Linked DNA regions of Macaca fascicularis. The protein of the gene in region 1 interacts with the protein of each later gene in a biochemical or structural test. Links are inferred from orthologs where the notes say so. Each region holds a gene or a part of one and is shown in the gene's direction. Other genes may lie near its edges. The genes, in order: VCPIP1 and WAC.

Region 1 (4,275 bases):
TACTTAATTCCTTTTAGTCTCAGTTTCCCTAATTGTAAATGAAGTCAACACCACCTGGTAAAGGTATTACAGGACTGGTGAGGATGATACATGTGAACATATTACTAAAATGTAAACTATAAGGCAATAGTAAGCAAATGCTAGTTACTATTCTATGTAATACAGGCCTAACCTTTCCTGCCTATGTCCTTATCTGTAAAAAGAGGACGGATTGAGATCTGAAGGTCTATCCAGTCACTTATCAGCTGCGTGAACTTTGGCAAGTCATTTCCTTTCTGGGCCTGTTTCCTAAGAAGGTTATTTTTAAGATCAAATGATAATCGTGTTATGCAAATGCTGTCCAGGCACATATTAAGCACTTTATAAATGATAGCTCTTATTACTCTGTAGGGGGCTAGGGTGGTAAAGAACAAATGAAATTAAACCTAGTTAAGAGGCTTTGTACATGCACATAAAACTCTACAGACATCCAAGGTACCGTTATTTGTACTGTAAACTGCCAAGACACGCAGGAAACGGGAACTCAAATGGCGCCTCAGTGACTCGCACTAGAGAGGGGGAGAAGGCAGAGCTTCCGAGAATCAACTATTTTCCCCCTTATGGCTTTCAGCCTAGATTGGACCATTTATTCAATTTCCCAGCCCACAGTATCCCTGGACATTTATTTACTGTACCTTTTTCACTGAGATCCTTTCCACTCCCCTCCCCTTCTAGTAGTCGTGAACTTCAGACCCTCTCCTTCGACTCCCACTGCCTTTAACTCTGGTTTTAACCAAGCTTCCCTGAATCCTTCCCTCCGCCTAAGGAGGAAGTGCAGCTGGACGCACCGCACGGCATCCTAGGAAATGTGGTCTCTCAGACTCTTTGGCTTGGGCTGCAGAGTGGGGAAGAAGACGAAGGGGAGCCCAGCAAAACTACAACTACCGGCAGGCAACGCGAGTCACCATCTTTCTTTGGCCCCTTTTCCTCTTGCCGTCCTCTTCCTCCTCCCCGCTAGCGCTGAACCGCTTGGCCTCACGGTACTTGTAGTTCCTTCTGGACTCAAGATCCTAGGGCTCGATGGCCAGCACAGAGGCTAGGAGACTCTAATTCCCAGAGGGCAGAGCGGAAGCTGCGCCTGCGCACACGCAATGAGGGCGTGTATGTCTGTGTCTGAGGGAGAGAGCGAGAGTGAGTGAGTGTGAGTGCGGGGTGGGGTGGTGGCCGTTACGTTCGGGGCAACGGCTACGGCAGTGGAGAAGTAAGAAGAGAAACAACGTCCGGCGCTTCCGCCTTCGCTTAGGAGGAGGAGGAGCTGGTAGGGAAAGGAAAGTGTTTCACCCTGGGCCTGGATTAGACCGAGTCGGGTTGGTGGGGGTCTGGGCTATGAGCTTTTGAGGGTCGCTTGGGACGCGGAGCAAGACACGAGAGCCGGGAGCTATGTCTCAGCCGCCGCCGCCGCCTCCGCTGCCGCCGCCACCTCCTCCCCCTGAGGCTCCACAGACTCCGTCGTCCCTGGCGTCGGCGGCTGCTTCGGGAGGGCTTTTGAAGCGGAGAGACCGGAGAATCCTTTCCGGGAGCTGCCCGGATCCGAAGTGCCAGGCGCGTCTGTTCTTCCCGGCCTCCGGTTCTGTCAGCATCGAGTGTACCGAGTGCGGCCAGCGGCACGAGCAGCAACAGCTGCTGGGGGTTGAGGAGGTGACCGACCCGGACGTAGTGCTACACAACCTGCTGCGGAACGCGCTGCTCGGGGTGACGGGGGCACCCAAGAAGAACACGGAACTGGTAAAGGTGATGGGCCTTTCCAACTATCACTGCAAATTGTTGTCGCCCATATTAGCTCGCTATGGAATGGACAAACAGACAGGCCGGGCCAAGCTTCTCCGGGACATGAACCAGGGCGAACTGTTCGATTGCGCCTTACTGGGCGACCGCGCCTTCCTCATAGAACCAGAGCATGTTAACACTGTGGGCTATGGCAAGGACCGCTCCGGAAGCCTCCTGTATTTGCATGATACTCTGGAGGACATTAAGCGGGCCAATAAAAGTCAGGAATGTCTCATTCCAGTGCATGTGGACGGGGATGGACACTGCCTGGTGCATGCTGTGTCTCGTGCTCTAGTAGGCCGAGAGCTCTTCTGGCATGCCTTAAGAGAGAATCTTAAACAGCACTTTCAGCAGCACTTGGCCCGATATCAAGCTCTGTTCCATGACTTCATTGATGCCGCTGAGTGGGAGGACATTATCAATGAGTGTGACCCTCTGTTTGTACCACCTGAGGGTGTTCCCTTGGGCCTGAGGAATATCCACATATTTGGTCTTGCCAATGTGTTACATCGTCCTATTATTCTGTTAGATTCCCTCAGTGGCATGAGAAGCTCTGGTGATTATTCAGCCACCTTTCTACCTGGGCTCATCCCTGCAGAGAAATGCACTGGGAAAGATGGTCATTTGAACAAACCAATCTGTATTGCATGGAGCAGCTCCGGTAGAAACCATTATATCCCCTTGGTAGGCATAAAAGGGGCTGCTTTGCCCAAACTGCCTATGAATTTGCTTCCTAAAGCATGGGGTGTGCCTCAGGACCTTATTAAAAAGTACATCAAACTTGAAGAGGATGGTGGTTGTGTTATTGGAGGTGACAGAAGTTTGCAAGATAAATACTTACTTAGGCTTGTTGCTGCTATGGAAGAAGTCTTTATGGACAAACATGGTATCCATCCTAGTTTGGTTGCTGATGTCCATCAGTATTTCTACAGAAGGACTGGAGTGATAGGAGTTCAGCCTGAAGAAGTCACAGCAGCTGCTAAAAAAGCAGTAATGGATAATCGCCTTCACAAATGTTTGCTCTGTGGTGCCCTTTCTGAACTTCATGTTCCTCCAGAGTGGTTGGCTCCTGGAGGGAAATTGTATAACCTGGCAAAAAGTACTCATGGACAGCTGAGGACTGACAAAAATTATAGCTTTCCCTTGAACAATTTGGTTTGCTCATATGATTCAGTGAAAGATGTTCTGGTACCAGACTATGGATTGAGTAACCTAACAGCTTGTAATTGGTGCCATGGCACATCTGTGCGAAAGGTCAGAGGAGATGGTTCTATTGTGTATTTGGATGGAGACAGAACTAATTCTAGGTCCACTGGTGGCAAATGTGGTTGTGGATTCAAACACTTTTGGGATGGTAAGGAGTATGACAATCTACCAGAAGCTTTCCCTATTACTTTAGAATGGGGTGGAAGAGTGGTCAGAGAGACAGTATATTGGTTCCAGTATGAAAGTGATTCATCTTTGAATAGTAATGTTTACGATGTTGCAATGAAACTTGTTACCAAGCACTTTCCAGGTGAATTTGGGAGTGAAATCCTAGTTCAGAAAGTTGTCCACACTATATTGCATCAGACTGCCAAAAAGAATCCCGATGATTATACTCCTGTAAATATAGATGGTGCTCATGCCCAAAGAGTTGGAGATGTTCAAGGACAAGAATCAGAGTCTCAGCTCCCAACTAAAATTATTCTTACCGGACAGAAAACAAAAACTTTGCACAAGGAGGAGTTAAACATGAGTAAAACTGAAAGAACTATTCAACAGAATATTACGGAACAGGCTTCTGTAATGCAGAAACGGAAAACAGAGAAGTTAAAACAAGAACAAAAAGGGCAACCCAGGACTGTTTCTCCCAGTACCATTCGTGATGGTCCATCCTCTGCACCTGCTACACCTACCAAGGCTCCCTATTCACCTACAACTTCTAAGGAGAAGAAGATCCGAATCACAACTAATGATGGACGACAGTCCATGGTTACCCTTAAGTCTTCAACAACCTTTTTTGAACTTCAGGAAAGTATAGCCAGAGAGTTCAACATTCCTCCATATTTACAGTGTATTCGATACGGGTTTCCTCCTAAAGAGTTAATGCCACCACAGGCAGGAATGGAAAAGGAACCAGTTCCTTTACAGCACGGCGACAGAATTACAATAGAAATTCTAAAAAGTAAAGCTGAAGGTGGTCAGTCTGCTGCAGCACACTCAGCCCACACTGTGAAACAAGAAGATATTGCTGTTACTGGTAAACTGTCATCTAAGGAACTTCAGGAGCAAGCTGAAAAAGAAATGTACTCCTTGTGTCTTTTAGCAACATTAATGGGTAAGATACATTTAATTCTGATGGTATATCTTAATTGTAAATATAATACACTGAGTTTTCCTGTTGTCTTTGGGGGAAAAGAAATCTGTGGCCATTGTAAGTTTTTAATTATATATTTCAGGAGAGAATTATTTTTAGTATTTTGACAG
Region 2 (3,821 bases), on another chromosome or scaffold:
GTAGGCTTATATGTTGTAAAATTTACAAAGACAAACCTGTATACAAGAGGTAGGTTATTGTCTCTAGTAGTAAAGCCCGGGTTATTTTGAAGAAAGTGGCTCTTTAAAATTTTACACAGTGGAATATGATGGGGTAAAGATTTGTGATACTTGTACCAGAAAGGCACATGATTTTACAATATTTGTTGGAATTACATTGCTTTGTAACCTCCTCATAGCAGTTTTGGTTTGAGTATATTGATGAAAGCCAAAGTCTCCTATCTAAAACTTGGGCCGATGTTTCCCGTGTATGTCAGGCTTTCCCAGTAGCTTAACTGTGACCCTATACAGATGACTTTTAGATAGTTCTATACTGCTGTATTGTGTTAGCACTTTTCTGTGTTCATTAACAACACAACTTTAAATGACATTTGTTGAATGAATGGTTTTCATTTGATTGATTTTCCTATTTTTTATTTCATGCTATGAGGTAGCAAAATAATTGAACTGTTGTTTTTATTGTTGTTTTCTAAACAAGCATTTCAGAACTTATACCTCCAAATGAGAGTTGTTCCCTTCAAACTAATCACCTTGGGAAGCTGTCTACTTACTCCAGCAATGTTGCCATTGCTCAGAACATTTTTGGGAAATTCTTCTTTTAAATTGTTTTTAGAGGCTGCAGTATTATTTTAAATATCCTCAGTGATGAAAACTCTTCATCCTTTGGGAGATTTAGTTTTTGGAAATAACTGAAATTCATTCAGAGCCAAGTCTGGTGAAGCAGGTAGGAGATCAACTTGGGTGATTAAATTTTTTGGTTCTCGCCACCATATCCCCAACCCTGGCCCAAACCATTCAGTTTTAAAAGAAGATAAACAATCTCAGAGTGTTATTTTTTTGGTTTTGTTTTGCCACTATGCTTGCTCAGTGCTATCCAACAAAATGTTTGTATTTTGCTTCACATTATTTCACCCTCTGATTCAGCAGTTCTGACGTTGAACAAAGGCAATATATATTTTCCCCTTACCTAGATGTATATGAGACAGTCTTCACATGTGCATTATATCTATAGCTGTTAAAATGTGACCATTTTTTAGTTATATTCTTATTAGTGTTTGTGGTACACAAAGTTAACAGGTTCTGCTCTCAGATTTGGAGAGTACAGTTTACATTAGACTCTGACAGTCGTGTTAAAAAGGCTTTTTCCCCCTAAAGTGTTTTGAGGAATAATATACTTTGGATTGTTAATTCTCTTTATTTGATGTTAAAATAACAAATTTTTCTTAGGAATTTGGGTATCTTTAAGTTAATAAAAGGTACTAACATGCAGTTTATAGGATAAGGATACCCAGAAACTACTTTTAAACATATTACACATTCAATTCTGTTTTCTAGTAGCCAGAGAAGTCCTTCACCTGGTCCCAATCATACTTCTAATAGTAGTAATGCATCAAATGCAACAGTCGTACCACAGAATTCTTCTGCCCGATCCACGTGTTCATTAACGCCTGCACTAGCAGCACACTTCAGTGAAAATCTCATAAAACACGTTCAAGGATGGCCTGCAGATCATGCAGAGAAGCAGGTATGTTAACGTACAGCCTAGATTTTACCTTTGGGTGATTAGCAAAACAGAACTTAATCAACTTCTAGAAAATCTAATGTAGACCACTGAATTCAAGCAATACTTAAAATAACAAATCTCTAACTTTGTAGTCATTTAAAAAATATTTGACATATAAGGTAACTTTTTTGGTTTTACAAAATATTTTAACATAATTATAGCCCCTGTTGTCAGGTACTCAGCAGTTAGCTCAGTGCTTATTGCCTTATATTTATTTTCTCTACTTCTTAAAACAGCTAAGCAGTGTAGATAAGAGTTTTCTCATTTTGCCATTGAAGTCCTTAAGACCAAATAGTCCATAAAACCTTGATCCCAAGGTCACCCCATTAACACAGTGATGTGGCTCAAAGCCAGTGTACTTTTTCCACTCAGCTGCTCTGATAGTTTCAGAATCCATTAGCACCGTTAATCTACTGGCCAAGTGCAGTGGCTCATACCTGTAATCCCAACACTTTGGGAGGCCGAGGCAAGTGGATCACTTGTGGCCAGCCAGGAGTTGGAGACCAGCTTGGCCAACATTGGTGAAACTCCATCTCTAACCATAAGTACAAAAATTAGCCAGGCGTGGTGGCATGTACCTGTAATTCCAGCTACTCGGGAGCCTGAGGCACCAGGATTACTACTTGACCCCAGGAGACAGAAGTTGCAGTGAGCCGAGATTGTGCCACTGCACTCCAGCCTGGGTGACAGAGTAAGACTCTGTCCCCCCCCCGCCAAAAAAAAAATGTTTTATTTTGCTTTGGGGTGAGACACCTTAGGACATTCCAGTTACTGTTGATTTGCCTCTTTTTATCAGATAACTGACCATCTGGGGTGTTCGAAAGTTTGCAGAGAATATGTCGTGTGTCTTACCATAGAGAGGAGTATAGTGAGGCTCTTGAATCAATACCTAATTCCTGAACTTGCAGAAATGACAGTCTCTTTGGCTGACCCAGCATCTTTTATTAACCACAAATTATGCGTCATTCTTTCTTAGTGCTGTATTAGCTTCAGATTGGAAATCCTATTTTCTCCAACTTGGAAGAGAAATACTAAAATAAGTACCTTCCACCCTTATAGACAGTTTCTTAAAAGAAATTAATTTTCCCCATTAGATTCACCAGCATTTTTGTGTATTTAAGGGAGAAGGATTATTCTCTAATCTTAAATATAAAATTTTACTCAGAAATGTAATGTTTTATTTTGTGTATGTTAATGTTTATATTTTATGTTTTGTTCATTAATTACAGGCATCAAGATTACGCGAAGAAGCGCATAACATGGGAACTATTCACATGTCAGAAATTTGTACTGAATTAAAAAATTTAAGATCTTTAGTCCGAGTATGTGAAATTCAAGCAACTTTGCGAGAGCAAAGGTAAGTCTTTCACTGAAATACATTTTTATGTTGCTCAGGATTATGATTCTTAAATCGAACTAAAGAATGTAAATGACATTTTATTTATGAAATGTAAAGTTCTCTTTGATACATTGATCACATTCTATCATTGCATTTTCATAAGTTATTAATATTCCTCGTGATGGATAAAGCCTGTCGATTTTCTCTTAACCCATGATGAATGCTTCATTAGACTTTTCTCATAACTCCATAAGCTGCAATAATATATTAAAAAAATGAAATATTGACCACAACTGATTATAAATGTTCTCTCTTGCTGAGGGTGTTTCCATTGAAATTTCTGATTATTTGTCCTTGCATCACCAATAGATCTCTTGAAAAGTATAGAAAGAATTTGTCTAGCAAGTTTAGTGTATCTGCTGTCTCAGTATTTTTCACCTGAACTCTTGTGTCGCATTTCTTGATCTAGTGTTTCACTCAAGTAGAATATCTACGTCACAATAATAATAGCATAGGTATTTTTTTTTTAATGCCTATTACAGAATTGAGGACAGACTTGGCAGTGGCTTTATGTCCTGTCTGTGCAAGTCACAGAGTTACAGGTAGAGTTAATCTTGTCAAGAAACCATAAATATTTAGTAAATACCAAATGGAGTTTATAGTACAACTTGAAAAAGTAAGTTTATTTACAGTTACTAAAATATCTAGAGGTACTCTTTGAGTAACAACTTGGGTTCTTGTACTCTCAGATTGCTCTGAAAGTAATTCTAACATAAACTTCATTTTGGCTTGTTACATCATTCTACTTTTAGGAATTCATTATTGCATCTTAGGAAACAGTATATACAGTCAAATATCAAGCCAGCCTGATTATGCCTA

Evidence for each region.
Region 2: the proteins of VCPIP1 (region 1) and WAC form a complex in vitro, tested with the Homo sapiens proteins (2 studies listed by BioGRID). The link is inferred for Macaca fascicularis from reciprocal best matches to the Homo sapiens genes VCPIP1 and WAC.

The regions. Positions count from the first base shown.
Region 1 is NC_088382.1:76,653,400-76,657,674, reverse strand, and holds the start of VCPIP1 (deubiquitinating protein VCPIP1), read left to right. Parts: upstream 1-1,172; 5' UTR 1,173-1,419; coding exon 1,420-4,126; intron 4,127-4,275. UniProt on the Homo sapiens protein: Deubiquitinating enzyme involved in DNA repair and reassembly of the Golgi apparatus and the endoplasmic reticulum following mitosis. Necessary for VCP-mediated reassembly of Golgi stacks after mitosis.
Region 2 is NC_088383.1:29,313,150-29,316,970, forward strand, and holds part of WAC (WW domain-containing adapter protein with coiled-coil), read left to right. Parts: intron 1-517; coding exon of another isoform or gene 518-641; exon of another isoform or gene 642-758; intron 759-1,374; coding exon 1,375-1,564; intron 1,565-2,832; coding exon 2,833-2,960; intron 2,961-3,821.